Linked DNA regions of Rattus norvegicus. The protein of the gene in region 3 interacts with the protein of the main gene of each other region in a biochemical or structural test. Links are inferred from orthologs where the notes say so. Each region holds a gene or a part of one and is shown on either strand. Other genes may lie near its edges.

Region 1 (8,063 bases), on a different chromosome or scaffold from region 3:
TCTTTCAGATACATTAAGTAAGGGGAGCCTCTTCAGTAGAACCCTCAATGCAATTTATGAGATCTAAACAAATGTTAAGGCAATTTTAAAAATCATAGGCTATTAAACAATTTCAAACTAGCGCTCACCTTCAGAGGGCTAGGCTTCAAAATAATGAAAGGTGGGGCTGGGGATTTAGCTCAGTGGTAGAGCGCTTACCTAGGAAGCGCAAGGCCCTGGGTTCGGTCCCCAGCTCCGAAAAAAAAGAACCAAAAAAAAAAAAAAAAACAAAATAATGAAAGGTTAACACTCATCATTGTTGTGTGAAATCTTTACTGGTTTTTACTAATTTTTTTTAAAACTTCCTGAGGAGGTCAAAATGTTTTAAGTATCAACACAAATACACACGGAGGCCAGAAAAAATGTGTTAAATGTCTAGTATATGGCAATAAAGACTGATATAGTTGAATTGATGAATATAAGTTCTGCCTAAAGACATAACATAGATTAAATGTCTTTGAAAGTGAAGTTAAGAGTTAGACTTGATGGCCTATGTGACAACAAATACCTCTAATTCTAGCATTTGGGACAGGGAAGCAAGAGGATCAGGAATTCAAGGTCATCCTCAGCTACATATTTAATTTGAAGCCAGCCTGGATTACAAGAGACCCTGTCTTAACACACATACACACACACACACAGAAAAAGTTCTTAACCCTTTCTGCTCATGTTTCTTGTCATTTGACTAACTTTTCCTGGAGAAAAAGCAAATTTATATGGACTTAATTTTGTTTTGGTGACTGAAAATTCATCATCACTCTAGTGGACTTTAAGAGATACCTTTTTAGGGGTTGGGGATTTAGCTCAGTGGTAGAGCGCTTGCCTAGGAAGCGCAAGGCCCTGGGTTCGGTCCCCAGCTCCGAAAAAAAAAGAACCAAAAAAAAAAAAAAAAGAGATACCTTTTTAAAAGGAAAAGATACACACACTCAAATTCTTTAGATCACATATATCATAAAAAGTGACTACAATTATCCCACTCAGTAATTTTGAACATGATAAGAAATATATCCCATAATTTTTGTATTTAAGTTATATGCCTTTAATTCCAGCACTCAGGAGGCAGAGGCAGGTAGATCTATGAGTTCCAGGCCAGCCAAGGCTGCAAAGAAACCCTGTCTCAAAAAACAAATTTTTCTTTGCATCAGATTTCCTCTTCTTAACTAGGATCTGGTTCAGAAACAACTACCAAGAAATAAAGAAAAGTTGTGTGAGGGCTTTTAATTTGGAAACACATTTGTGATAGCAAATCAGCTGTTATTTATTTCTACCAAATCTCTTCCCTAATTATAAATTCTCCGAAAGTAATTAGAAGTAATGAAAAAAAGGCCAGGATTGGCTTTTGCTAGTGAGAGCTCTAAACAGCTGAGGAAGCAATCCATGTATACTAGACTGTTTTACAGAATCAGAGACAGATACTGTCATTTAGCTTAACTCCTTTCAGCAATGCCATGTTAGAGATAGATACACACCATCAAAATCAACACCAGTAATGTCAAAGGCAACAATACAGGAAGATAATGGAGTCTACAAGTACCTTTTCAAATGATACTACTTTAAATATCAGGAGCACTCTTGAAATCTTAAGTAGCCAGACTTTAGCAAAATGATGTGCTATTAATAAGCTGTGCCTAAGATAAAACAGTCTGAGCAAAATGGGGGTGTGTGTGAAAGTAAAGCCCATTATTGCTGAAGTGGTTTACACCAGCGGTTCTCAACCTGTGGGTTGTGACCCCTTGGGGGTGTGCTGAATGACCCTTTCACATGGGGTCACCTAAGACCATTGGAAAACACATTTATTTATATTACAATCCATAACAGTAGCAAAATTGCAGTTCTGAAGTAGTAACAAAAATAATTTTATGGTTGGGGGTCACCACAATATAAGGTAATGTATTAAAAGGATGCAGCATCAGGAAGGTTGAGAAGCACTGAACTACATATAAAACTTATCTATAAAGACTTAGCGGGGCTGGGGATTTAGCTCAGTGGTAGAGCGCTTAACTAGGAAGCTCAAGGCCCTGGGTTCGGTCCCCAGCTCCGAAAAAAAAAGAACCAAAAAAAAAAAAAAAAAAAAGACTTGGCACAACCTTTGATTCTAGAATTTTCAAGACACAGGCAGATGGATCTCTTGAGTAGAGTGCCAGGATAGCCAAGGCTACACAAAGAAACCTTGTCTCAAAAAACAAAACTATATATATCTCGATATAGTAGAGAAAAGTTAAGTCTAATTAGCTCTTTCACTGACTAGCTCTTACATTAAATTCACCAAAGTTGTGTGCCCTAGAATCACTCAGTCCTCTGTCATTTCTTTTTATTGCGGCAGGTAACATTTACCTAACCAGTGAGATAGAGTAAAAGCTAACAGTATTCTAGTAACTATCAATGGTTTCCAAAGACTATCTTAAGTATTTGAGACAAATTCCAGACGAGGCTGATTTTGACTTACCTCACAGCGTTTGGTTACTAGCAGTAAGTAAAAGCAGTCTGAGTCAGCAACATATATAAGAAGTAGTTTTAGGGGGTTGGGGGATTTAGCTCAGTGGTAGAGCGCTTGCCTAGGAAGCGCAAGGCCCTGGGTTCGGTCCCCAGCTCCGAAAAAAAGAACCAAAAAAAAAAGTAGTTTTAGAAATGTTTCTGTTATCACCTTCAAACTGAAGGTGAATGTGTCTATGTATCTGTGCACATTCGTATGTTACTAAAATACCCCCAATTCCAGAGAATTTCATGAACTCAGAAAGTTCTAATCATCCTTTAAGTGAATTAAACCTTTAAAAGGTTCAACCCCCCCCCACACACACACACACAATTTGGTTTATGCATATAAAACTGTATCACTGACCATTTTGATTCTGCTATTGTAGTCATTCAAGACATTACCAAATAGGTAATGGGACTGGAGTAAGGCTTTACATAGACTTGTTATAGTACCTATTTCAACTGCACAGGAATCTGTAATTATGTCAAATTAGAAGGGGGCTTTTTCTTTGTTGCTTTATTTTTGAGACAAGGATTCACTATGTAACTCTGGCTGGCCTGAAATTACAGTAAGCCAGACTAGTCTCAAACTCATAGAGAGCTGCCTGCCTCTGCCTGCTCTGCCTTCCAAGCGCAAAACTTAATGGCATAAGACTCCACGGCAGCATTCAATATATCAAATTTTGAAGAGACCTTAACGTGTGTTTTTAAAAGTTAAGCCTAACTCGTTTGTTATGCACCTCTTGATACAAACTCAACATTCAAGTAGGCTGGACACTGGGTACTACTGTGAGACAAATCTCAATTCTGAAGTTGCTTTGAGATTACCAATTAGAAGATCTAAACGAAAGCACACACTGTAAATGAATTTAAAATCAAGGAACAACATTATACTGAAATTAAGTATGTAAGAACATCTTTAAAGAAGTGAGGCTGATGTGCCTTCTGAATCATATTGTTGAAGCCAGGGAATTGTATGTCAGGGAATCTTGCAAGCATTCATTCAGCCCTCAACAGAGCACACACTAAGTACTGCTGAACACACTTCTTGCCCTCGGGATGGAACGCATAGTGAACCAGATGGTCTCTGGTGGACCGGTTTTATATTGAATTATCTCCGTGGGGGCTAAAGTTAGCAGAAACACTGCTCGAACCTCCAAAATCCTGAATACCAGCACTGTGGCACTTCTTTTAAAAAGTGACTACTTTCACCCAGGATATATTAAACGGAGGGGGAAAAAAACCCAGAAAAGTGCAGTTTTAGTTAAGCATAGGACCATCCAGAACAACCTGCCACACACTGAATTTCACTTGAGCCTTTGGTGGGCAGAAGAGGCAGGGCAAAGCTGCTTCTTTAAGCTGGGGATGCTTGCTGATGCCAGGGACCCCCTTCTCCCTGGTGAGTAGGCTCCTGAAAGGTGGGCTAAGAAACTCTCTTACCATCCTCAAATGGGGTCCCTTCGGGCCTGCAACACAGGAAAACAAAAACAAGAACCGGTTAGTACCAGCCAAGGGGGTCCACACCTTCCCGCAGCCTCTGAAGAGGCGGCTCTGTCAAGGTCTCCCATCCCTGCCCTCCGTCCAGCACAGCTGTCCGGTGTTAGGGAAGCCACCCCTGTCCCCTCGGGGCTCTGGAGGCAGCGCAGGCCGCCACCGCTCCCCACCCCGCCCCCCTAGAACCCCAAACGGTTCCCCTGGCAGCGAGAACGGAGCTAATCGAGGCAGAGGCTCCGGGGAGGCGCCTAGGCCCAAACAACCCCAACTATCTTCCCCTTTCCCCCCGCGGCTCATCGAGGGGCCGGCCCCGGTCCCCTGAGTCCCCGGCGAGGGCCGGACCGCAGACTCACCCAAAAATGACCGCGTTCCAAACCATTATGTTGTTCTCCGACGGGGCTCCACTCACTCCAGCCGGAGGATCCTCTTGTAACCTTCAGAAACACACAGCGGCTCCCCTCAGCCCCGGGACTCGCGGCCGGCCCCCCTCACCACCACACCCGGAGCCGTTCCGTTTCGGGATCCGCCCTGTGCCCCGGGCAAGCAGCCCCCTCAAGCGCCTTTCCCTAACCGACGCCGGTTACCTCTTGAAGTCCCTCATGAGGCGGCGCCGGGCCGGGGTCGACATGGCTTTAGCAGGGTCAGAGGTAGGGCATATACCAGGGTCCGCGGTCCCTGAGGAAGCGGAGGAAGCCGAAGCCGAGGGAGCACCGAGAGGAACAGCACTACCTCTCCGAAGCCGAGGGTCGGTCTGGCGCCGGCTAAGCACCACCCCTGAGTAGACGGGGGCCGAACCAACCTGAGGAGAACGCGCGGGTGGGGTGGGGGGGAACGCCTTACGCCGGGCGGACTGTACCAAGTCGGCTACGGGGCGGGGGAGGACCAAAGTTGTTCTGTCAGTCACGCCCCGCCTGAGAGCCCCAATCCAGGACCGTGGGGCGGTGGCGGTCAAGTTCGAGGGGAAAGGCTAAGCGGGCAGCAAAGGCAGCCTTCAACTGTCGGGAATTTAAAAGGGAAACGCATGGGCTCCACTTGCGGATTTGAAGAGGAACCCCTGCGAAGTTTTCTTTTTATAGTTACTTACTTTCTTTGGGGGGGGGGGGGTCGTGGGGGAGGAAATCTTTCTCTTTCCTTTCTTTTTTTCCTCTTTTGAAACAAGGTATCCTGTAGGCCAGGGAAGCTCTAACTCACTGTGTGGTTGAGCATGACTTTAACTCCTGAGTCTCCTGCTTTCACCTCCCAAATGCTGGGATTACAAGAGTGCACCACCATACCAATCTTTTAATTACTTGTTGTTTTGTTGTTGGCTCCCTGCTTCTTCCACCTTCATTGATTGATTGATTGATTGATTGTACGGTTGGTCTCTTGTAGTATCTAATGTAATACAGGCTAACTCAAACTCACTGTGAATCCCAGAGGCTGGGCCTTGAGGTCACCTCAGCCTGCCAGGAATATGCCTTAACCTTTCTTTGGTTTTGACAAGGCATGATTTATTAAACTGCCAACTACGTCTAGGATCGGGGAAAGAGGAGCGGAGAGAAGATTAGTTGAAACAGGAGAGTGGGGGAAAGAGTTGGCACAGGCAAACAAGTTCTCAAAAGGCAAGGATGTTAGGGTCATGGTCCTGCAGACACGAGAGGCTGGGGTAACTACTCAGAATCATGGGGAAAGTAATAAATAAATAAATAAATAAATAAATAAATGGCTCTTGAGTGTGAAAATGGACTTTGGGTCCATCTTCTTTGAGATGAGGGTGCACAATTCAATCCCAACTTTTAAGTCTAGGGCTGAATAAAATGACATTGGGGCAGTGGTGGAAATGGGAGCTTCAGGCAGGGAAAATAGACATTTTACAAATGCCATGGGCACTCACAACTTGTCTCTGGAACCACATTTCCCCTTGGTAATTGATCAAGCCAAGCAGCTAGTTTAGAGGAGTCCAAGGTATGAGCTTATCCAGCTGAAGAGTATTGGAAGGACAGGAGATGGCAGGGAAAGGTAGGCGCTCGGGGGAAAGCTGCAAGTCACGGGCAGGCAAGCCTCACAGGGAGTATAGGCACCTGCAAAAGCAAGAACAGTTTGAAAGAAGCATTTTCAAAGATCAACCCAAAAATCACTTAGTAGGCAGACAAGAAGATACTTATTTAAGAATGCAGGAAATGATGAGAAAGGCAGGTTTGAGTTAAATCCGGGAGAGTTTTGAATGTCAAGCAAATGGACTCCTTGGAAGGTAGTAGAGCCAGGAAGCGACACCATTAGAGCTGGGTTAATCAGAGTTTGTCCCGAGAGAGCAAGAGAGTACCTGAAGGGCTCTTGTGGTACTGTTCAGGAGAAACATTGTACCAGGCAATCAAACCTCCCAGAGGCCAAGCCCATCCTTTACCATGGGACCTACTACAGCTTCAAATCTCAACAGAGATTTTCTCTCACATTAAATCCTGCTCACGTTTTGAAATCTCCCCCCACACACACAGTATGAGAAAATGTTTTAAAAATTGAGACTGAGGGGCTGGAGAGATGGCTCAGCGGTTAAGAGCACTGACTGCTCTTGCAGAGGTCCTGAGTTCAATTCCCAGCAACCACATGGTGGCTCACAACCATCTGTAATGGGATCCGATGCCCTCTTCTCTTCTGGTGTGTCTGAAGACAGTGACAGTGTACTCACATACATAAAATGAATAAATCCTTTTTGAAAATGAAAAAAAAAATTGAGACTGAGGGCTGGAGAGATGGCTCAATGGTCAAGAGCACTGACTGCTCTTCCAGAGGTCCTGAGTTCAAATCCCAGCAACCACATGGTGACTCACAACCATCTGTAATGGGATCAGATGCCCTCTTCTGGTGTGTCTGAAGACAGCTACAGTGTACTTCTATATAATAAATAAATAAACCTTAAAAAAAAAAGAAGTAGAGATTTGAAGTAGCCATTAACAGAAGTAGGCATAAAGGGTGAAGGACACATTCAGGAGAGGAAATTTTGAATGGGGCTTCCTGAGCTCCTGGGAGTGATGAAACAGCCATGTGAAGATGTCCAGAAATCATCAGGTGCACAGGACTAGAAAGCACATACCAACAGGAGTGATTTTACTAGGTGCTTGATGGTAGGTACCTCCCTAGCTAACAATTGTTATCCCCGATTAACCCCAACACATATATCCATTAAAGCAAGTTTCCCTAACAGTGTCATATTATGGCTGTTGGTGGGATAAGGTTACCAAACCAAATTTCAAAAATCCTTTTCCCCTCATTTAGAAACTTGAAGTCTTCTATTTCACACATGAAAATAGCAAAAGCAAGGCCTGCAAAAAGAGCATTTGTTCTCTTTCACTGCTTAACTGATCACCACAAACCGCAGGTCAAGTCCAGTTCCTTATGCTTGTAGGACTCGGGGCCCTATTTCATTATTAAATGCCAAACTGGGACCACTCCCAGCTCCCAGAGGCCACCTCCATTCTTTGCTATGTGACCTTCTCTCTTGCTAGCTCCTTCACATACTTTGAACATTTTTTCTATAAGAAGAATGCAGTGTACTTCTCTAACTTGTCAGATTACATCAGACCCAACCTTGATAATCTCTTTATCTTAAAAATCCTCTAAGTTCAGGTAAGTTACTTTTTCAGTGGACTGGAATATCCTCAGGATTTGCCTAGCATGTCTAAGGCTCCATGCCCCATCCCCAGTACCTAAATAAATAAATAATCAAACAAATAAAATCTACTCAATTTCTTCACTATAAAATCTAGATTAGGGGCTGGCGAGATGGCTCAGACGTTAAGAGCATTGACTGCTCTTCCAGAGGTCCTGAGTTCAAATCCCAGCAACCACATAGTGGCTCACAACCATCTGTTATAAGATCTGATGCCGTCTTCTGTTATGTCTGAAGACAGCTGCAGTGTACTTATATAAAATAAATAACTAAATATTCTTTTTAAATCTAGATTAAGCATTGGCTTAATATCTAGACAAGGATATGTGGGTGCACCAAGGACCAAAAGTCTGTAAAGCTGGCATCATTCCAACCCTGCCTTTCCCAGCAAGAGTGGGATCTATATTAA
Region 2 (7,404 bases), on a different chromosome or scaffold from region 3:
AACTTCTAATTTTAGACCTAAGCCTAACTAATAACACTCTGAAAATCTCGAAAAGAATTTAGAGTTAAGAGTCTTACTTGAGCCAAAGGAAAGACTATTTTACAACTACAGTTCAACATGCAGCGTGTAGCAGTAACAGCATACCTTTTCTCTCTGTTTTCTGTGCAGGGAGAGAAGCTGTGGGTGTAGGCAGTTTTGATAAAGTAGATGCTCCATTAGCATCAAATGATTTCTTTGGCTGGTGATCAGACTGAAGCGTAAATGGACTAGAAGGAACAGTGCTTGGGGTAGCGGTTGGATGAACCACTGGTTTGATGGGGTGCTGTACTGGCGTAGAGCTACTGTGAGTCTCTGCTCTTGGCAGTCTGTAGTCTTTGTCATTGTGTCTGCTTGTTTGAGACAAAATATTCTGTGGGAGCAAACTACTGGCATCGCTGGAATGCTTGTCTTCCACTGTAGTTCACAGTTCCCAAAAGAGATGTTGGAATGACAGAAGGGGGAAGAAAAACAAATGCTGTTAGAATCCTACGACATGAACATCAGCTAGTTGAACACTACACCTGAACTTATTTTCCTTTCCTTAAATTGCGAGTCCAATTAGTGGCTGCAACTTTAACACTGGCATATAAACAGCAATACAGCAACTATAAACATTAATCTATTCTCAGATTCTAGTCTAACATTTTACTAAAAAAAAAAAAAAAATTCTAAAAATATAAAGGCAAATATTTTCTTGATTCTTTTAACATATCGATCACAGGGTCAAATAATTATCCAGTAGTCCAATTACAAAGGACCACTGGCTTCATTATTTCTAAATTTTTGAGTATCTAGGCAGCTAGCTAATGTAGGCTCTAAGGGTTTACTGTAGGTCTTTCAATGATTCAATGACTTATCATATACTGAATTGTGCATCACAAACAAAACCATTAAAATATTTATATAATGCTGGCAAAAGTAGCATATTCATATGTCACATGTTATTCTGAAGAGAGAAATCCAAGATATGCATGCAGGCATAATCAGAAAACAAAACAAAACAAACAAAAAAACTATGCTTATTGCCAGAATAAATGGGGGGAAAAAAAAAAAAAACCAGAAGAATTTAAGCTCAGAAAGGAGGTATAGGAAATAGCTAAAACCCTGAAGTTTAAATACTGGTAACTTTGCTTCTGTAAAGTAATACAAAAGGAGGAAATTCTTTAAACAATTATGTGAACAAAGGTCATTAGTTTAAAAAAACCTACTAATATTCCAAAGTAATATCCAAGAAAAGAAAAACCATAAGATTAAAAGATCAAAAGGATGTGCCCTTTGATCATGACAGTTTCAAAGACTATGAATATGTATGTCTTTCACAATCCAAACTCCTCTGACCCTAAGATAAAGAAGGTATAAGGAGCATACTTCTGCATACTTCTATGAGTCAGTTTTCACCTTGCCACTACTATACAACAACAACAGAACCTTTAAAACAGTGGTTTACCACCAAAAAGCCCTTAACTGTATCAAAAGAAACTCTCCAAGTATCTAATATAACTTGGTATGTTATCATCAAACCAATAGCAAATGCAGACTCAACTGTGACAGTGGTATCCAAAATCCTGTATAGATAAATACATATAGCTCTACCTTATATGGACTATTAGAATCTCACTTTAGTCTCCTGATACAAAGAGGATGCTATTCTACCTGAAACAACAGGAATAACACCATGCCAAACAACACAACGCCACTTAATTACCTATTTTTATTTCATTAACCTAGAAAATTCTCCTTTAGTTGTATATGGCTGAAGCAAAACATGTAAAGGTCAAAATGTTCAGAAGAAGACATAAAATAATACTTCAAAGTATTAAAGTATTACTTCAAAGTATATTTTATTATTAAAAAAATAAGTCAAAAGGATAGTTGATTAGGAACTGGGGAAGATGGAGCTGCAACTGATTCCTACCATCACTAGACAGAGGAAATTTACAGAAATGTATATCTGTACCACCACTCCCCACTCATTTCAATTTCAAAGCCATGGTGGGAGGTGACTAGCTAATTTAGCAGGTATAATAACAATTTAAACACAGGACAGTCTCTCCAGCAAAGAATTGCCTGATCCAAAATGTTACTAGTGCTATAAGAAATCCCAGTGGAGGATTCTCTGAGCTTAGAAGATGCATATTATTAATTCTAGAAAAATAATCAAGATGCAGCTTTAACACCAAAAGAAAAATTATCCATACATTTCTGAAATCCAGAATGTGGTAACATTTCTACCATCTTTAAGAAACTTCTCACTCCAACCATCATTCAACCCAAATGCCAATAAACAAAATAGTTTTTGACAATGTCAAATAATTAAATGGGATACTGATTTTATTACTACAGCACTTTATATGACTTAGTGGAGAAATTTGACAGAAAAACTAAAATCTTTCTCAACCATTACATAAAACTTTAAAAACTAAGATAAAAAAATACAACTATTACTTCAACCCCAAATCTACTGACTCATCATTTGTACACACAGGAGCTTAGGTTCATTAAGGGACAGATATGAATCACAGAATGTAAAATAGCTGAAAACCCAGCCCAGTATTCAGATAGCAGACAATTTATGGATGGTATAATGAACCTCAATAGTGCAGACAATAGTTTAACAGATGCAGAATCAAAATAAAAGCAGATCCCAGAGACACTACTGAACAAGCAGGGTAAGCAATAATCTCATTTGTGGTTCTAAGCAGGTCTGATTTCTATACACATGTACACAGTAAACAAAGCATGCACATCAAAACACTCCTGGATCATAGGGTTACAAGTTTAACACTAACTTTTATATACATCCGCCTGTTTGCCTCCCTAATACAGTAAAAAGGAGTGCGTGACCATTTTAGGCTTTTCTAACTCTAAATTATAAACATTAGACTTTGAATATATGACAACATATAAAAACATTCAAAAATCTCCCCATCTCTTATTCAAAATTAGGTCTCTTAGTGTTTACCTTTATAAACTCTTAACCTTAGAGAAGAATGAATTTATTTAAAAGGTAGTCAGTATAGAAAAACTTAAGTTAGAAAACAAATTTATACAACCACAAATCCAGCTATGGACCCATGGACTCATTATCTGTACATATGTGAATTCAGTTAAGGAGCAGATGTAAATCAGACTGTGAAATTAATGAAAGCGACCCAATATTCCTAGAAACCAAGTTTCCTCTTTGGGAACTACTAGCTTAAGCCTAATGGCAAACGCCTGGTCCAATTCAGCACTCATTCTAGAGTCTAGTCCACAAGCAAAACAGCTTCCTTGTTCTTCATTTTAGAAGATCTTTTCATGCACACGTCACTAGTCCCTGCCCACCAACTGCTCTAGCAACAATAAACAATATACTATTTAATTACTTCAAAAATAAAAACCTTAGCTTCTTTTTGTTTGGTCAAAGTCAGCTAGTTACCTGAGACAAGAGGCAACATAGGATTAAATATAATGTTCTGTAAAATTCCCTAACTTAATACTTGAAATCAGTCACTAAAAATCAAGAATAATCGTACTCATATTTTGAAGATTTAATGTTGCTATGTTAAAAGTTCACACTAAATACATTTGCCATTAAAGAATCAATACCCCTTATTAAGAATCAATTACTCACATCAATGGATAAATCTCAATAAAACATTATGGCATAACCTGTTTGTCATACAGATCAAGGGTCCCTTAAACAAGGGATGAAAAATAGTTTATAAAAGATTTAAATGTTTCTTCAAAGCCTCAGTATCCAGCTTATACAGATCTCTAAACACAGTGGAATTAACATGTAAGTACAGATAATGATGTTTTAGATCTCAGCAATAGTATTGTAAACCAGAGACACGTTGAAAACATACATATACGCTACTGGAGGAAGGGATGGAGGAGTATAGCAATGATGTGAACTCAGTACAGTCAGGCAAAAAAAAAAAAAAAAAAAAAAAAAAATCAAGAAATTTATTTTGTACTACTAAAGAATTATTACCTGAAGTGATTTTTCTAGTATTCCCAGGAAACAAAAAACAGACGAGTTGTTTGCGTATACTCTCACATCATTGTAATGTCTAACAACATCCATTTTAGGGACCATCTACATACTGATTTCTTCTCCTTGATAACCAAAATGACAGTATTGCACAGTGGGATACAGAAAACAGACCAAGATTTTCCTCACTAAGGGAGAAAAGGCTGTCAGCTATTCATAAGAACCTACAGTCAAAACCTCCAAGCATGTTAATAAATGTGTGTGGTGGGGCTCAATCATTTACTACTTAAGACTATAAGCTAATCCTCTTTTTAAATATGGAAATCTTGTTCTTTACCAAGTCTGTACTACAGGCAACATGAGTAATGAAAACCACACAGACCCCTATTCTACCTGCACCTGTTTCCCTTTCCAGGAAACAGAGCTGAAAAGCCAGTCAGCATAATAGAAATCATGTATATTTTCATGCCAATTTACACATGCGGATGGAACTTATGAGCTGTTAAATTAAAACAATAGTAACAAAGCAAACATACTGTTTCAAAGCGAAAAGAAGGGGGAGGGGAGGGGGGAGGGAGGGAGGGAGGGAGGGAGGGAGGAAGGAAGGAAGGAAGGAAGGAAGGAAGGAAGGAAGGAAGGAAGGAAGGAAGGAAGGAAACCAACCACTTACTTCCACTGGTGAACCCACTAGTGGCTGCTGCTTGCATCACCTCTCTTCTGTAATCCCTGTCTTTTGGGAAACTATTAACTGCCAACTTATTTGCTTCTTTTTGTCTCTGTTCTCTAGAAGTAAAAGAATAAACATCACTTTATGAATAAAAATGACACTAAGTACTTAAGTCTCTATACCAACTTTCTGGCCAAATGCGCCACAAAACTGTACACTGGATAAAAGGGAACATGGTTTACGTCTGAAGCTGGTCTGGAAGATGGCATACAGCACTAAGAATGGTTCTCACCGAAAGGACTGTCAGCTAACATACTACTAGCCTACTGAGTGTTCCCGGGCCTCCACATGGGTGGCTCTTATGTCCAAGAAACACTTTTATAAGGAGGGAAGACACAGAAATATGACCATAACTAAAACTGAAAAATAAAGGGAGTTTAGTGTACAAAACCAATAGCTAGTGTTTAATGACACAGAATGGTGACCTGCAGAATGAATTAGGGAGTATTACTACGTTAAAAGCAAGTACCTTTCAAGCCACTCTTTTGGTTTCTCCCACTGTGAAACTTCTGTGCGACAATTGTAGTAGTATTTTTTTCCAGATGAGCTAATGTGCTCAGACCAATCATCTGCAGAATCATAAGGCTTAAAAACACATTTTAAAAATTAGTCTGCCACTTAAGCATTTGATGTGAAATATTAAAAATTCTAATAATTTTCATACCAAACATACAAATATATATATGAACAGAATCTATTAAAACCTTTATGCATTATAGTATAGTGTATATAGACTATTAGGCATATGAAGAACATGAAATTATTAACATCTTGAATTCAGAAAGAAAAAAATGGAAAACACAAGGTAGCAGTATAATACTGTAACTAACATTGTTCTTTTAAACTTCTCAGTTGGTCTTACACAGATATTTGATAGTCCTGTAAAATCATGATGAAATCAGGAAAACCTGAAGGGAGGTTGCATGGAACTGGTGTCTAAGACAAAAAGGGCAGATTAAAAGTAAGGACCTGTTTGAACAACCCTATAGAATCTAGAAGCTTTTAAATATTTGTTCAGAAGGGGTTAACATTAGCCAAGAAGTAATTTGTGATTGAGAGACTGATGAGAGAAACAGACTAAGATTCAAGGCTAATAATAAAAGAACACTTGGAGAGCTGTGTATGTAGCAGAAGACGGCCTTGTTAGGCACCAAAGGGAGAAGTCCTTGGTCCTGCCAAGGCTGAAATACCCCACCCACCCCCCAGTGTAAGGGAATGTCAGGGCAGGGAGGCAGGAAGGGGAGGGTGGTTGTTGGGTGGGGAAAAGAGGACAACATTTGAAATGTAAATAAAAAATATCCAATTTAAAACAAAACAAAACAAAACAAAAAAAACAGAACATTGGAACAGAACAGGCAGATACTGGGATCTAAACAACCAGTGTGCTTCAAGGAATATTCTGCAAATTATCATCTGTCTCAAGATTTTTTATTTTGTTTTGCTTTCCCTAAAGCAATAGTCTTTATATTTAAGCTAGCTCCCAAATTACCTACCATGTAATCCTCACTGGCTATACAGTAAAGCACTCTACCCACCACACAACATGCATAATCACGGAATATACCGGCCTATAATACTACTATCAAATTTCAGCTTGTACAAATGGGATATCTTATTTTATAAAAATGCAAGACACTTTCGCAATCGGAAAACAGTAAACTATCATCTCAGCCCATTTCTAGTAAGAGTGTAATTTAAAATACCAATGTGCAACGAATGACACTTGACAAGTTTATGGACTTGAAAAAAAAAGAGTATGTAAAATTGACAACTCAAGTCCTACACACACACACACACACACACACACACACACACACACACACCACATCTTCTAAGTTATATAGCATGTAGTCACAGACAACCAGTTTTCAGGTATTATCGGAAATACTTGAGATAAATTTTCACATGACTAAAATACTATCATAAGAAAATGGGCATTCACCCAGAAGCCACACAGGACGAAATGACCACACACACACACACACACACACACACACACACACACACACACACACACACACACACACACACACACACGGTTGGAGACATTAAATCCTTTAATACTGCAACTAAACCACAGATTTTAATATAGTTTTTTCTCTAGAAAGATGTTTTATTAAATGCATATTAACACATGATGGGCTTAATTGGTATTCTGAATGATCTAAGTTTTTAAAATATATAATAAACATCAAGCTTACAGAAACTGTCCAAGGAAAAGTGCACAATTATGTGTGACTTTAAAAGGGCCCTCGAACGGGAAAGGCAGCTCTCAAAGGCTTTGAAGCTGGTCTGGTCTACACAGTAAGTTCCATGCCAGCCGAGGTTACAGCTAAGTGACAGTCACAACCTTCCCTATAGAAGGAAGTTCTACCAAGACACCTATCTAGTCCCACCTTAAATTCAAATCTGAACAGATCTCTGACATGTGGCTGTTTCTTCTTCAAAAATATCTCTACTTTCTTAGAGTTGTTCACTAACAGCTCATTAATACACATGTCCTTTCTTATTTTTTTTTAATTTTTTTTAACTGCACAGTTTTTTATTTACATTTCAAATGTTATCCCTCTTCCTGGTTTCCTGTCCATGAGCCTCCATCCCATTCCCCCTCTCCCTTCTTCTATGAAGGTATTCCCCCACCCATCCACCCACCCTTTCCCAT
Region 3 (7,404 bases):
ACCAAATACAGGGCAGCTTCTTCATGCAACAATTTATTCTCTTTCATTAGCTTATTTTTTAATTCACTTTACTCTGATCTCAGCTCCGCTCTCTCCTCCCAGTTCCCTCTCACCCAGCCCCTCATCTCTCATGGCTGGTTCTTGATGCTGGATGTCAGCTGGGAGGCGGTCGGTGGCCAGCTGGAGGTCCTGCACGTTTCTTAACATGTCAGCTGAACCACATTGAGTGTTCTAGGAAACAAAGCACATCCTGCCTGATCTTTTTAGCATAGCCTCAGAGTTACACACTATTAATGTTTTTGGCACTAAAGTTGTCCAGGAGCAAGAGGAGGAACAGATCCATCTCTTAATGGGAAGATTGTCAGAGGGAAAACAGTAAGCGGAAAGGTTTGTACAGAGTAGTGGGAACATGGGGCAGTTCCATAATTAGGATGCTATGCAGCAGTAGCTGGTTGACAGCTCCTCAACCGGACAGGGCTGCCGAGCAGGCTCAGTGGACACAGCACTGGCCACGTAGTTGAGATCCCCATAACCTACCTAAAGCTCAGTGCAGTAGTATTGATTTGTAATCCCAGAACTCCACTCCCTAAGACGAGATAAGAGGCAAGGACTGGACATACTTGGAAGTTTGAGGGCCTGACTTAAAATTCTGGCTCAAACAAGATGGAAGTCAAGGACTGATGCCTGAAGTTCTCTGTTCATGTCCATATACAAGCTATGGTGTGTGTACGCACATATGCACACATGCACACAACCTGATTGTAAACTGCTCAAGACTCAGCCTAAATACAGAAGAAGTTTTTTCTTGTTCTATAAAGATTATCATTTCTGGATATGTAGCTAGAGAAAGTTGGTGGTAAGAGATATTTCTGTTTTAAATTATTACTTTCTAAAGTATTTGATAAAGGATGTTTTCTTTCTAAAAGAAAATCTTCATTATCTGAAGGATCGTGGTCTATCTAGGGAAATGGTACTTTTCAAAGATAGAAAGATTATTAAATCTTAACTGGTATTGTCCTTGTGAAAGTTCTTAGCAATTGCTTGTTTTCATTATTATAGCACTCTAAGAACTTTTATTTTTAAATTTGGCTGTTGAATTTTTTTCTCTAATTGTATATGAGTAAGGACTAATTTTATGGAAGTTGGAACTCTTGACTCTATTCTTTTGTTATATTTCTGAATGCTTGTCTTCGGGATGTAGTTCTGTAAGCTGCAGGGTAAAGTAGAGACAGCAGAGTCACGAGTGTCCGTCTTGGAGTCCATGATTGATGACCTGCAGTGGGATATTGACAAAATTCGAAAAAGAGAACAGCGGCTCAACCGGCATTTGGCTGAAGTCCTAGAGCGGGTCAGTGCTATTTATATAGGCTTTTAAAATGACTTACAAATGCAGTTTTAATTAATGTGTATGTGTGTATGAGGGAGGGAATATATGCCATTGTGTGTGCAGAATGTGGCCAGAAGAGGGCATTAGCTCCCCTGGAGCTACAGTTACATAGGGTCGGGTAGCTAAGCATGCGTGCAGGGAGCTTCCAGCTGGGCTCCTGCAAGAGCAGCAAGTGTTTTTACCTGCTTAGCTATCATTCTCCAGCCTCTCCGCCACGCCCACTAGCATATTCTTTCTGTCTTTGAGACTTACATAAATGTATACCATGTATCTTAATCCTATTGATCCTCTGCAGTTCTTCCAGAACCCTTCTCCATATGTCTCCATGTGTTCCCCTCAACTTAATGTCTTTTTTTTTTTTTTTTTTTAAATAATTCACTGACTACCATTTGGGCTTCTATATGCTTAGAGTGGGCAACATACCAAAGACCACACCACAGATAAAAGTGACTTTCCTCCTCTTAGCAGCTGTCAACTGCCGATGGCTCTTCAGTGAGGGGGAGGTAAACTCTTCCCCTTTCCATGCTAGTCTGTTGATTAATTTGATCTTGGGCAGGCAGCCATAGCTGCTGTGAGTTCATAAGCACAGCCACTGTGCCATATCCAGGAGACACTGTTGTTAATGCTCCCACCTTCTAGCCCTTAACAGTCTTCTCACACGCGTGAGTGCGTGCGTGTGTGTGTGCATGCGTGCGTGCGTGCTCATGTTCTCCCATTTTTGGCTGAACACTTGGTTGTCACTTGTTCCTAGTACTTCAGCTGTTTAACTGGTTGTATGCTTGTAGTTACTAACATCCACTACAAATAAAAGCTTCCTTCTCAGAAAGGATCAGCCAGATGCTGTTATTTGAGGAAGAAACATCCTTTGAATGACTCTGGTCTTACAACTGAAGTCTTCCAGCCTCTCACTAAAGAGTCATTGTCTTCTCTGTAGGTGAACTCAAAAGGCTATAAAGTGTACGGAGCAGGGAGCAGTCTCTATGGAGGCACAATCACCATCAATGCCCGGAAGGTACGTCTGCCCCACCTGGGACATGGTGTTTGACTGGGGACAGGCCTTGTGCCTCGGGTCTGCATTGGTTCCCAGGTAACACAGTGGCATTTGCAAGAGTAGAACAGAATGTGGGAAGCATGAAGTGGGATGACCTTCATTCTCATCTGATGCTTTCCTGATCCTTTCTAGTTTGAGGAAATGAATGCTGAGCTTGAGGAGAACAAAGAGTTGGCTCAGAACCGACATTGTGAGCTAGAGAAACTTCGTCAAGACTTTGAAGAGGTCACTACACAGAATGAAAAGTTGAAGGTAGGAGACAGAGCTCTGAAGGACAAATGATTTGTTCATCAGCCTGTGAACCTGCATACTTTATGAAGAACAAGAAAAATTTGGCCAAATTTAGCCTCTTCCATGATAAAGGTCAACAAGTTAGGTATAGAAAATTGTACCTTAACACAGCAAAGGCCATTTGTGACCTGCCTACTGCTAACATGCCTGGTAAAGAGTTGCAAGATTTAGGATGTTTACTCTTGCCTTTGTTGTCAGTATCATACAGAAGCTCAGTCAGAAGAAATGGGCATAGGTAAGAAAAGGGCTCCAGATTAGAATGATTGGAGAGGGAGGAGTAAAGTTGTCTCTGTTTGCAGGTGCCATGATCCTACATGTAGGGGTCCCTGAGAGAACTAGAAACGAGTTCGATAAGGTTGAAGAATGTAAAATCACCAACAGACTCAATGGAAGCGGTCTCATTTTATATAGCAGTAAAAATAGTAAATTTAACCAAAGATCAGTGTATAACAACACTGTGTAGATAGAGTGGATATTATTCAGCTTTGAAAAAGGAAAGTTAGTCATTTGCGGCAGCATTGATATACCTGAGGGATATTATACTAAGTGAAATAAGGCAGGGAGAGATAGACAAATAGTGCTTGAAACATACAGATGCTAAGAAAGTGGATCTCATAGAAGCAGAGAATAGACTCAAAAGGAAACATACTGGCTGGAGACCGAGTTCTCAACAGAAAGGAGATTTATTTGCCTCAGAGGGACAAAGGGCAAAGAGTAAGGGACAAAGACAGGAGATAGAGGGCAAGGGAGAGGGGGAAGAGAACAAGGAAGAAGGAATAGTGGTATTTGTTCCAGAGAGCAAAGAACTGCCTCTGGATAGAGAGGAGATCTTGGGACGTAGAAAAATGACAATTTACAAAGGTAAACAGGGAGACCCCGTGTTAAGATGAGGTTTTAATTTTAACTGCGCATGTTAGTTAGGTGAGCCAAAGTGGGCTTTTGATTTCTGGACTTCAGTATTTTGATAGCTGGGCCATGGCAGTCAGCCTTAGGAGGAAGATGTGGCCAAATAAGGGAATGAGCTTTGGTGACTAGCTGGGGTGTCAGTGGTGAGAGGGCATGCGACTAATGGAAGACACTGAAGAGAGGTTGGAACAACGTGGGAGGCATCGAAGGAGATGATCAGTGAAGTCAGGAGAGTTTGTTGGATGATGACCTTGACCTTAACGCAGTGGAGGGAGGGAGGGAGGGAGGGAGGGAGGGAGGAGGAGAGGGAGAGGGAGAGAGAGAGAATGAATGAATGAATGAATTTGTCTGTGTCTGTGTGTATTGGAGAGATGTCTTTGGTTTAGTTATGTTTTATAATTGGGAGTGTGGGATTTGTTCAGTGTTGATATCTGAGGATGTCTGGACAGTTAATGAGTTTAGTCAGTCAGTTGGTGATGGATATCTGGCAGTCATTTGGGCAGAGGAATAGTTTGAGTGTGAGAAGAGGAATGGGATTTGTGGGGAGCTGGTGATCTTGAGTGAATAGGAACCAGAGGGTGAGGATGAATGTTGATAACGGAGGGGTCAGCCTGATGTAGTTGTCTTGACAGGAAGGGGCTCCATCTATATAAAAATGTAGGCAGAAGTAGCCAAAGGGCCCTCTTGTGTGTGAGAGGAAGAGTAGGAGGAGGATTTCAAGAACTCTTTGACAGGAGTGTCGAAGTTCTGGGTCGGAAAGGCGAACATTCTAAGTTTAAGGAAATGTTTGAGGCGGGGAGGAAGGAGAAGGTCTAAAGAAGTGGGTGGAGAATAGGAGGAGTTTGGGAATTCTCTAGGGTGAGTGTGTAGATGGAGGCTGAGGAAAGGACAAAAGCCTGAACATTCACTTCAGATGTCAGAAAGAAGAGCGTTTAATTCTTAGTTGTGGCATAAGTAGCAGGCCTTTGGTTGTTAGGCTCAGGTCTGAGGAGTTTTTCTGTAGAGAACGAACTTGGGAAAATTGACCTTTCTTTGACAAGGCAGAATACAGTAGTCAATCCAAAAGTGTCCACAGTTCATACAGTATCCTGGCGGCAGGTTTTCCTAGTGCTTACCATCGCCACAGTCCAGGTGCAGGGTTCTATCTTTTTTAGGAGAGCCCTTACAGTTTGTTGTTGTTGTTGTTGTTGTTGTTATTGTTTTGTTAGCACTGGAGTCTCTGTTTATTGGGAGAAGTTTCTGTTGAACGTTTTAAATGCCATATTCAGTACTTATTAAGTATACCTGATTTTAACCTTGAGAACATATACAGGAGACTGAATAAAGCCTATTGTAATTAATCGTGATTGTAAGTATAGCTTTAAAAGTTAAAAAAATTATGAGGTAACTGATAATTGTATGTTTTAATTCTCTTCAATACTTTTTAATAAAGTTATTGCAGCTTTTTATAAGATTAGAACTTGCAGCTTTATCCCTGTTAAGTTTGACCTTTAAAGTCTGAGTTGAAGATTTAATTGGAGATCTTTTAGCATAAAAATAAACCTAAATGTAGTAAATTTGTCATTAAAGAAGATTATTCTTGTAGAATTGAGTTTAAGCAGTAGACAGTGTCAGGACAGGAAGGGTTAATGAGTTGGGAAAGTAGCAAGGGCCTTGACAGAGGGAGGTGGGAGATAAGACTAAATTATACTGTAGCTCCCTTGGTCGCCAACACTGGAGAGCGTGACTTCAGGAGGAGGGGAGCAGTACTGAAACAGCTGGAACAAGTTGACCGAGGAGGGGGGGGAGTTGGAGGAGTTCAGCTGAAGTAGCCAAGTCTGGGGCCTAAGGGAAATGGTTGCTGTGGCCCAGAAGGAAACTGAAGTGTTGGAGAGGCTGATGCTCCTGCATTTGAGCTTTTACTCCTTCCCACAAGGCCAAGCTGAACTGGTGGTGCAGAGTGAGCAGGGATAGCACTGGGGAGTGGGTGGATAGCTGTGGAGAATGGGTGTGGGGGAGGCAGTGTTGGAGCCTTACCAGAGTTTAGGTAAGGCAGAATGGAACTGGAGGGTATTTTGTCAGCTGAGGGCAGTGGGGAGTTGGGGAGGGGACAGCTGCTCAGGCCTGATGGGTGTGGCCTGCAGCCTCAGTGCTAAGTCTGTAGGCATCCTGGACTGGTATTCATTTTTGCCTATTAGAATTGTCCTTTGCAGAATCTTAGGGGAACAAAGAAGAATCTTCTAGAAGTCTTCCTCATCTTTCTTTGATTCATAGACTATCATTTATAATTTATTTCTAGATTAAGGAATAATGAAGATATTTGCACTAAAAGGAAAAACTTCATAAACATTCTTGGAAAATTAAATCAAATGGTTGCTTTGGAAAAACATGACCATTTTTGCTACCAGTCGTAATTATTTTCTCTGTGACAGTGAATAACAGTTACTGGGGTCTTCATCTGTGATTTAGAGCAAATGTCCTGGTCAGGTCAGTTTTACTCAGCTCTTCTTTGGATTAGAGTTGAAACAATGTTAAACACATGTCAAAATAGTGGGTGGCCTGGTTTACTCAGGGACTGAGTTCTACCCAGGAGTGGTAGTCTCTGTTTCATCATTTTTCTGAGTAATGGTTCCAAGTGAGTGTCACATTGGTGAGTTATTTTCCCACGACTGACTTGTGGGGCATACATGCTTTGCTCTGACTCTGGCTTGCCTTTTGTCCGGCCTTCCTAAGGTGGAGTTGCGGAGCGCAGTGGAGGAAGTGGTTAAGGAAACCCCAGAATATCGCTGCATGCAGTCACAGTTCTCTGTCCTGTACAATGAGAGTCTACAGTTGAAAGCTCACTTGGATGAAGCTCGGACCCTGCTTCATGGCACCCGGGGAACTCACCAGCGCCAGGTTGAACTCATTGAGGTAATATTGAACTTTTCTGTGTTTCACTGGTGGGTATGGGAGCCAGCAGTCTTACCCACAAAGCCAGCCATTCCCTCTCCTGCATTGTCTTCTCTATGTGATTGCCTAACTAATGGATTTTGTGCCTCTACTTTCATGCATAGTTAATATCCCATTCCTCAGTTAATATCCAGTGGGCATAAGTGTAAGACAACAGAATTCTTGCCCTCATGGATCTTATGGGAGAATGCTGCTATTAAGGTGCTGCATGATTCAGTGGTAGTTGTCTGAAGATGTGGTGATGGAGAGACAGAGCATCTGATTTGTCTGTGGTGTCTTCCTGATAAGGAAGTGGGTGGAAAGATGGAAAGTTTGTTGATGTGCTCCAGCAGTGACAGCCTTCGTGAAGCTGTGCCTATGACTCATATGTGTGGGGACATCAGGCAGATACTGCCATTGTGACATTCAATGCACATCTAGTAGGCAAATTATTTGAAGGTATAGCTTTTATTTTGGTATTTATGTTCACTTTTATGTTTTCTATACTCCTTTTTAAAAAAGACTTATTTGTTTGTTTGTTTATTTAATGTATGTGAGTACACTGTTGCTCTCTTCAGACACACCAGAAGAGGGCATCAGATCCTTACAGATGGTTGTGAGCCACCATGAGGTTGAACTCAGGACCTCTGGGAGAGCAGTCAGTGCTCTGAACCGCTGAGCCATCTCTCCAGCCCCATTTTCTTTACTCCTTACGGTGGTGTTTAAAGTAGCTGGAGTTTTCATGTATGTTGGCTAAAGAACTTGATGCTAGTTTATGTTTACACCTGGACAGTTTATGGTTCTCCAACTGAATTGTAATCTCAGAGCTAGAGGCCATTTTCTTTATTTCTTCATTGTT
Region 4 (8,106 bases), on a different chromosome or scaffold from region 3:
CAGACCCACTTAGACCTACAGCTGTAGAGGCAGCCCATGTCACAGAGGAAACTGGTGAGAGGTGACCAAGCTGATCTGCAAAAACAGATCCTCATAAACTCTTAATTTTTCACTTGCTTGCTTAGTATGCAAAGAGTTTACTAAGAGTAGAGCCTGTCTTCAAATAGTGTTAGAGCCTCTTACCAAAAAGCACCCTTTTAATATGTAGATAATAAGAATGACTTACCATCTTCAAAGGGTGTCCCTTCTGGTCTGAAAACAAAAAGATCTCTGATTAAAACAAGTTTTTCCTTCTTTGTCTTCAGGGAGAGAAGGGTAAGTAAGCTGGGGAACCAGGAAGGACAGTGCTCACCCTGCTGCCTGAGAGCTGCGTAAACATCACCAGTCAGACTGCCAGACAGCCTTGGCTTAAACTCAGGCAGCACAAAGGCTCTCAATGATCAAGTTCTTTTTAAAAGGAAACTTGTCTATGATTTTCTTGAAAAAATAATATAGTACAGCCCAATGCACAGCCAACTGTGGTGGCAAATGCCTTTATTCCCAGCACTGGGAAGGAGGAGGCAGGTAGCTATCTTGAGTTTGAGGCCAGCCTGGGCTACAAGTGAGTTCCATGACTGCTAGAGGCTACACAGAGAAATCCTGTTTTCAAACCCAAAACCAACTAACAAACGAAAACCCAAGAGTGTGCAAGTGGGCATGCACCACACACTCGTGTATTCCCAGATACTCAGGAGGGAGTCAACGGTTGAGACTACCTAAGACGCACAGTATAAGGCCAGCCTGACTTGGCAAGACCACCTCAAACTACAATTTTAAAAAGGATGGTGCAACACATATACACAGAATAGAAAGGGAGGGGGTACCACAGCCCAGGCTGCCTGACCATGCAGCAATCCTCCTTCCTCAGACTCCTGAGTGCTAGGATTTATTAAGTATGAGTCAGTATACCTACCTATTTTGATTTTGAGATAAGATCTCATAAATAGCCCAGGTTGGCTTCTAAATTGTGATCCTTTTGTCTCAGCCTTCCAGAGGCTATGATTACAGATGATTGAAACCAGGACTTCAAGAATGTTAGGCAAGCACTTCCACAACTGAGCTAGCTACATTCCTAGTCCCCTACTACTTACAAATGTAGACTCCTATAAGACAGCTAACTGATTAAGAGTACTTGAGAAAATCCTCTTACAGGAGTTTGGTTCCCAGCACCCATGGCAGGCAGCTTACAACTTAAGGAGATTGGACACTGGCCTCTGGCTGGCTTCCATGGGCACCTGCTCTCTTGTACATGGATCCTTCAAACCCTGTTACCAATTACTGGGTTGACTGTAAAATGATACTATACCATAACTAGCTGTAGTGGAAAACTCCCATAATCCCATACCTACACAAACATACATAATCAAAATAAGTTTTAAATGAAAAAGGATGTACAGAGCTAGCAAGAATAGTTTAGCAGGAAGAACTACTCACCATACTATTTCTTGAACACATACGTGATGGAGGGAGAGAAATGACTACAGTTGTCATCTTACCTCTATATTGAGTGTTGTGGGTTATGGACACCTACTCACACAGTCAGTCAGTCAGCGAGTGTGTGCGCACACACACACAAACAAAAAATTAGAAAGGTATTAAGTATGGTGGCCCAAGCCTGTGTTCCCAGCACTGAGGATGTTGAGGCAAGAGGATCCTAAGTTTGAGAACAATCTGAAAAATGCATGGAGACCTTTTTTTGTTGTTTTTGTAAAACAGGGCCTCAGTAAGCAGCCTGGACCTTAACCTCCAAGTGCTGGATCAAAGGGGCCAAACCTTTGTCAAGAGTCCATCTCAATAAAATTTCACAGGTGCGAAGAGTGAAGCCCAGTGATGGAGCACTTGCCTACAATGTGTTAAGATGCTTGGATTCAACCCCAGCATCACCCAAAGTAAGATGCTTGGATTCAACCCCAGCATCACCCAAAGTAAAACTACCTTCCTTGTTCAATGGCTTCTCAGGGGGCTGTGCATATAGGATTTTTAGCTGAAATTCTTATCACAGCGAAGTTTTCAGTTCCTTTGGTTCCAAGTGTTTTTACGGCTCCAACAGTATGGGCATAAACTGCAAGTGCACAGCACATTTTATGAGTTGATTTCTCTCTTCTCCTTTATCACCCTACTTAATTTCAAGTATTTACTTCTTATTGTTGGGGATCAAGCCAGGGCCATACGCATGGCAGGCAAGCATTCTACCACTCAGCTTCACTCAATGCCTTTACACCCTAGATCATTTACCTGGAGTGACCGTAAAACCATACCATAGCTAGGTACAGTATCAAACTCCCACAATCCCAGCTACTCCTGAGGGCCTAAAGCAAGAGGATCACTGCAGCCCAGTTCAAAATCACCCCGATCAACACTGTAACACCTTGTCTCAAGGGAAAGAAACCAAATTAAACTTAACAGCAAGGAGCAGACCAATTTTATATAAATGTCCCAGACTCAATAAAATGTTTCAGGAGCTGGGTATACAGCTTAGTGATAGGAGCACAATAAGCACAGGAGGCCTATGGTTCTCAAAAAAGTGCCCCCTACCCCAACAAGTGAGCTTCGGATCCACCTCAGCCTCTTTCCTTGGTGCTTATATACTTACTTTTCCTAAGCAGTCGCTATTTCAACTCACCCAAATATAACTGCGTTCCACTGCATGATGTTGTTTTCAGATGGTGCACCACTGACCCCCACAGGTGGGTCCTCTTGCAATCTAGAAATCCAGAGTAGTCATTTTCAGAGTTGAACATAAAGGTCAGTGAGGTCAAATTCTACTGAACCTATTCTGAGAGACTGACTAGACTGACTTATTGTTGGAGCTGAAATGAGCTATGACTTAAAAGAATCAACCAGGTTAATATACTTACTAATACTACCAGTGATCTCTAAGCCCAAAGGACTAGGTGGTCATCCTTCTTCACACAGCAAGATTTAAGATATGATCTCTTGAAGAACTCTTGTTTCCAGACTGCCCTCTTGACCCATTACAAGTTTACAATTTTAGCAATGAAAAATATTTTAGAGAATCTGCAACTACCAGGTGGTAGTGGTGTGCATGCCTTTAGACCCAGCACTTTGGAGGCAGCCTGGTCTACAGAATGAATTCCAAAACAGTCAGGGCTACACAGAAAAACCCTGTCTCAAAAAACCAAAACCAAACACCAAAAACCAAAACCAAACCACACAAAAGCCTACAGTTTTTCTACCTTCATCATGCAAGGATCTCCAGTCCTAACACAAAATCGTAGGAAATCTCCATACACTAAATAACTGAAAAGCATATTCAGTTTAACTAGAAAGCGAACCACACTTTATGGTCTGTGCTTCAGACAGTGGCTTTCTCAAGTAGCCAGAAGCTCCAGCTAGCTTTCCAGCAGTCTCTCTTTTAAAGACACTGCTCTCAGGCCAACTCTACCTTAGGCCTTCATACAAAGTTTCATACAGCACTTTCAACAGACGTCATCATCAATTTCATGTAACCTCAAGATCCTTGGAAAACCACCAAAGGCACCTTGTACTCAATCGGGTACAGAAATTGCAAAAATGAACAAGAGATAATAATGGATGATGTATTAGCCATAATGGCAAGGTTTATTTGCATGCTACAGAGCCAATCAAATATAGTGACTTCAAGCCTTTTGCACCAACAAGGGCATCTCATCTGTCAGATCATAAAAAAAAAAAAAAAAAAGCCTTCCACCATACAAAGTATGTCATGATTTTTAAGTGGACACTTAGCGATCAGTCCACATTAAAAAACAAACAAACAAACAAACAAACAAAAAACCTCAAGCAGATTATGCCACTAACAGGGCTGAGAGGAACGAACTTACTGCCTGATTCCTCAATTTTAAGTGGCTAAAATCAGCAACGAATTAAATGAAGCTGTCCAAGGCCCAAGACCTCCAAATGCCCCAGACAGGGCTTTATAAAGGCAAAGTCGAGCAGTTGCTTCCTGAGAGGCAAATCTAAGTTTTTATAGTACAGATCTGTCTCAATCACAGCGGGTCTGCCCAGAAAGAAAACTTAGAGGAGTATCTTGTCGCTGGATTTCAAGTTACGGTTGCTGCACTTGTACGTTTCCAAGGAGAGGTAAACAACTGGAAGAGGAAGGAGAGGTCATTTTCTTCCTTCAAGCCCCTTATTTCCTATAAACTCCTATTTTCCAAAAGGAGGCCCAGGTGGAGTATCAGATTAGCTCCAGTGTGACGGAAGGCATTTCCCAGGCCGGGGAGGCTATAGATAGGCCTTTATTCGGCAGCCAGATCTTAGTTCCAGAAGGCACTGGCAGCGGAGTGGCTAGCTCCAGGTCCAGGTTTCCCGAGCCAGTTCTCAAGGTCCTTCCAGGTGGGCGGGGGCAGATCGGGTTTCGGGGGATGGGCTAACCACCTCCGGACCTCGCGCAGCAGACCCCACCCTCACCACTGCAGAAAGGGAAAGAGATTTGGGACAGTATTCACCCCAACCCCGCTACAAATAGGAGACCACGGGGCCCTGTAACAAAGCTGGACTGGTCCTCCAGGCGAGGCCAGAACCTCAGGAAAAGCTCCCTAGCACCACCTGCGGAGGGGACACCGCAGGGTGCAGAGGCGGGAGGTGAAGCGTCTGCATTTGGCCTAGGTGGGCCTCTGGGACACCTAGGCCCAGCGATGGCTACCTTCCTACTTTTGGGGGGGGGGGGAGGGCAGGTGGCTATAATACCGAACATCTTTACTCAAACAGAGGGAGGTATGAAGCGAGGGAGTAAGAGTCGCCGGTGAGCCGGGGCTGCCGTGGGTCCCGCAGGCCCACTGCCCCCCTCCTCAGGGTCACCGGGGGAGGATATCCCGGATCCCCGCCCTACAGTCCATAGCTTCGGGAAGAGGCCGTCATATTGGGCTAAGACGAGGGCCCTTACCGCTTGAAATCCCGCATGAGCCTCCTACGGGCCGGGGTCGACATGCTCCGCAGCTGCCCCGCGGTCAGTCTGAAAGAAAAGAGTCCCGTTCGGCCCCCCCACCCCCCGGCGCAGCGGCCGAATCACTGTGGGTCGCCGCCGCCACCGAGACTGCACAAACAACCCTGCAATGACGTCTCCCTCCGCCGCCTCCAGATCCCTCCGCCCTCCGCCAGTACCACCGCTGGGAGGAGGGGAGAGGGGGCGGGGCGAGCGGGCGCGCGCGCGACCCTGGAGGCGCAGGAGGCCGTCTTCGGGGCTTCTTGGCTGTGAGGAACTATGGAAGGTCCTCTCCGTGCCCAGGCTGGACACGGGCCGGCCCGACCGCGCCGGAGCCCACACGCTACCTTGCCTCGCTCCCCCCGTCGCTAGTTTCAAGTTCGGCCGGACGGGGAGAGAGGTGCATCCGGAGCCTGAGATTTCGGGGAGAGGAGGTGGGATGACGTCAGGTCACGTGACCGCTAGCGGCGTTGTCAACAATCCACCCCTGAGGGGGAGGGAGCGAAGTATCTAGAACCACGTGTGCCTGTGACGCCATCAGAACAAGTCACGTGACGGCCTAGCCTGGCTCTTGGTTTCAGGTCTCACAAAGCAGGTCCTTGAGTTTAAGGAGTTGACACCTCTAGTCATACATTATTCTTTTGGTCCCAAGTACTGGGACTTTGCATAAGGAGACATTGTGGAAGAAGCCACTTGGCGTTCTGAGTCTTTAAAACGGAACAAAAAAATCTGGACTTAATTCTGTTTCAAGTGGCTTAGCAACTCTGGCACGTGGGACAGGTACTGAAAGTGTGGCAAAGCCTTGTAATGAACAGCTTTGAATACTATGGTCCGTGCAAATCAGATGGGATTAAGGGCATTTGGATCAATTATAGCCTGTATGGGATTTCCATACTTAAAGTCTATACAGAAATGAGAGTGGAATAGATTGTCCAAGCCTTAAAGACTCCATCTATGGAGTCTTAGAATTGGAATCTGTGATTTTGCCTGCGGTGGGGAACAATTGTATTTCTCAAGAAACGAGTGGGTGTGATTTTTAGGGCATATCAATGGGCTGCTGGTTGTCAAAGAAACCTACCAAAATGATTCAGATCGGGGGAGAGATCATGCAGACATGGGTGGGAGTTATATCTCGAGTCTGAGGTAACTTAGTACAAGCTTTGTACAATAGCAAAGAGGGGCCAAACGGACCGGAAGTGCTCTGTGTGTGTGTGTGTGTGGGGTGATTCTCAGCAGGTTCAGTAGCCTTCACACACACACACACACACACACACACACACACACACACACACCGCCCCGCAAGCTCCTGGAATTCCCAATCTCAGCTTCTAGCACTGATGTTAGTTCTAGGGACCCGAACGGTGGAGTAGATGCGGAATTCTTTAGCTCTAGAAGGGAAAAGAGCATGAGAATCTACTGCTCCACTCCTTCCTATATACATAGTTCCTTGAAACCAGGAGGGGTTAGCCTTTTCCACTATCCTTATCCCCCCATTCTTCAAACAATTCTCATGATTTAAAATGACCTTGAGAACCCAGCGTCTTGGTGCATCCTGCTAATCCCATCATTCCGAAAGTGGAAAGGATCAGGAGTGTAAGGCTAGCCTCAGTGAATCGAGATGTTAACCACTCTGGGCAGCCTGAGAGTCTCATCCCTCCCCGCCAAAAAGTAACCTTGAGGATTGTCAGGTATGTCTGTGTATTGCTAGCCGCTGCTGTGTCCTCACAATGTGACTAAGCTAAAAGTTAAGTATTCTTACCTTTACGTTTCTTCTTTTTGAGGTATTCAGTAGAACTCCAGGGCCTTACGTAGCCCTGTAAAATTTTACTGAGGATGCAGTGCACAGGCTCAACTCCAGCACTAGGTAGGCGGAGACTGGAGGCCTAGAGGCCTGCACATTCCACAGCACCTAGAGCACGGAGAGACTTTGTCTTGGGGGAAGAAAGGTCTCTTTAAATCCCCTAGGATGGACTTCAACTCCTCTTTGAGTAGCTGGGATAGGCAACAAGTGCCTGGCTTTTTTCTTCCCGCCCAGCCATACCAATCTTAATCTTCCTCATGGTCAAGAAAGAAGACAAATGTGTGTGGGAATATATAAAGTAAAATGGTTAAGAAACTTTAAAAAAAAACTCATTGTGTCGATTATCTAGCAATTTATTACTTTTAAAAATGGACCAGATAGGTTTTTATCCAAAATGAAATGTTTTGATACATTGAATGTGCTTCCCAAAAGTATTAGAAGTCAGAATGTTAACAAATTCACACAATTTCCTGGCCAGGCGGCTTGCTGGAAGCCTACAACTGCAGTCTTAGAACTATAATTTCACTTGTCAAAACAGGGTATGTGTAGCTCAGGCTGGTCTGGAACTTGCTATGTAGACCAATCTGGCCTCAATCTCACATAGCTCTGTCTCTCTTCTGAGCACTGGGATTGTGAATTAATTTGTGATGGCAAGGACTCACTAATTCATGCTTTCCTCCTTGCATATATTTAGTTCATAACAAATACTGAATAAACATACAGTATTGTAAGACTTAACTATGACATTCTTATTTATAGAGAAATGAAGAAAAATCCAAACCAAGTACCCATCCTCCTTATTCTCAAGCTCCAAAGCCCAGCTCTAGCAGTTAGTGGCAAAATTTTAAATACTTCTCAACTGGTTTTTTTTTTTTTTTTTTTGGTTCTTTTTTTCGGAACTGGGGACCGAACCCAGGGCCTTGCGCTTCCTAGGCAAGCGCTCTACCACTGAGCTAAATCCCCAACCCCCCCCCCTTTTTTTTTAAGCAAACTAGTTTCTTTTTTTTTTTTTAAAGCTTTATTCATTTATTATATATAAGTACACTGTAGTTGTCTTCAGATACACCAGAAGAGGGCATCGGATCTCTTTACAGATGGTTGTGAGCCACCATGTGGTTGCTGGGAATTGAACTCAGGACCTCTGGAAGAGCAATCAGTGCTCTTAACCGCTGAGCCATCTCTCCAGCCCAACTAGTTTCTTTTTTACACTACTTAGCACATTTCTTGTGCACATATTTATTTGTGTGTATAGGTCACAAGACAACTTGGAGGAGTTGGTTTTCTTTCCACTATGTAGGTCCTAGAGATTGAACTCAACTATTGAGGTTTCGTGGCCTTT

The links.
Region 1: the proteins of Rnf20 (region 3) and Ube2a form a complex in vitro, tested with the Homo sapiens proteins (4 studies listed by BioGRID, with this or other methods). The link is inferred for Rattus norvegicus from reciprocal best matches to the Homo sapiens genes RNF20 and UBE2A.
Region 2: the proteins of Rnf20 (region 3) and Wac form a complex in vitro, tested with the Homo sapiens proteins (2 studies listed by BioGRID). The link is inferred for Rattus norvegicus from reciprocal best matches to the Homo sapiens genes RNF20 and WAC.
Region 4: the proteins of Rnf20 (region 3) and Ube2b form a complex in vitro, tested with the Homo sapiens proteins (4 studies listed by BioGRID, with this or other methods). The link is inferred for Rattus norvegicus from reciprocal best matches to the Homo sapiens genes RNF20 and UBE2B.

What each region holds. Positions count from the first base shown.
Region 1 is NC_086039.1:120,976,795-120,984,857, reverse strand, and holds the start of Ube2a (ubiquitin-conjugating enzyme E2 A), read right to left. Parts: upstream 4,775-8,063; 5' UTR 4,637-4,774; coding exon 4,593-4,636; intron 4,443-4,592; coding exon 4,362-4,442; intron 3,981-4,361; coding exon 3,955-3,980; intron 1-3,954. UniProt on the Homo sapiens protein: E2 ubiquitin-conjugating enzyme that accepts ubiquitin from the ubiquitin-activating enzyme E1 and transfers it to a E3 ubiquitin-protein ligase. In vitro catalyzes 'Lys-11', as well as 'Lys-48'-linked polyubiquitination.
Region 2 is NC_086035.1:60,653,990-60,661,393, reverse strand, and holds part of Wac (WW domain-containing adapter protein with coiled-coil), read right to left. Parts: intron 5,328-7,404; coding exon 5,212-5,327; intron 4,799-5,211; coding exon 4,686-4,798; intron 454-4,685; coding exon 145-453; intron 1-144.
Region 3 is NC_086023.1:68,782,550-68,789,953, forward strand, and holds part of Rnf20 (E3 ubiquitin-protein ligase BRE1A), read left to right. Parts: intron 1-1,201; coding exon 1,202-1,348; intron 1,349-2,321; coding exon 2,322-2,399; intron 2,400-2,570; coding exon 2,571-2,690; intron 2,691-6,347; coding exon 6,348-6,527; intron 6,528-7,404. UniProt on the Homo sapiens protein: Component of the RNF20/40 E3 ubiquitin-protein ligase complex that mediates monoubiquitination of 'Lys-120' of histone H2B (H2BK120ub1).
Region 4 is NC_086028.1:36,758,872-36,766,977, forward strand, and holds the start of Ube2b (ubiquitin-conjugating enzyme E2 B), read right to left. Parts: upstream 5,073-8,106; 5' UTR 4,997-5,072; coding exon of another isoform or gene 4,972-4,996; coding exon 4,928-4,971; exon of another isoform or gene 2,744-4,927; coding exon 2,663-2,743; exon of another isoform or gene 253-2,662; coding exon 227-252; exon of another isoform or gene 1-226. UniProt on the Homo sapiens protein: E2 ubiquitin-conjugating enzyme that accepts ubiquitin from the ubiquitin-activating enzyme E1 and transfers it to a E3 ubiquitin-protein ligase. In vitro catalyzes 'Lys-11'-, as well as 'Lys-48'- and 'Lys-63'-linked polyubiquitination.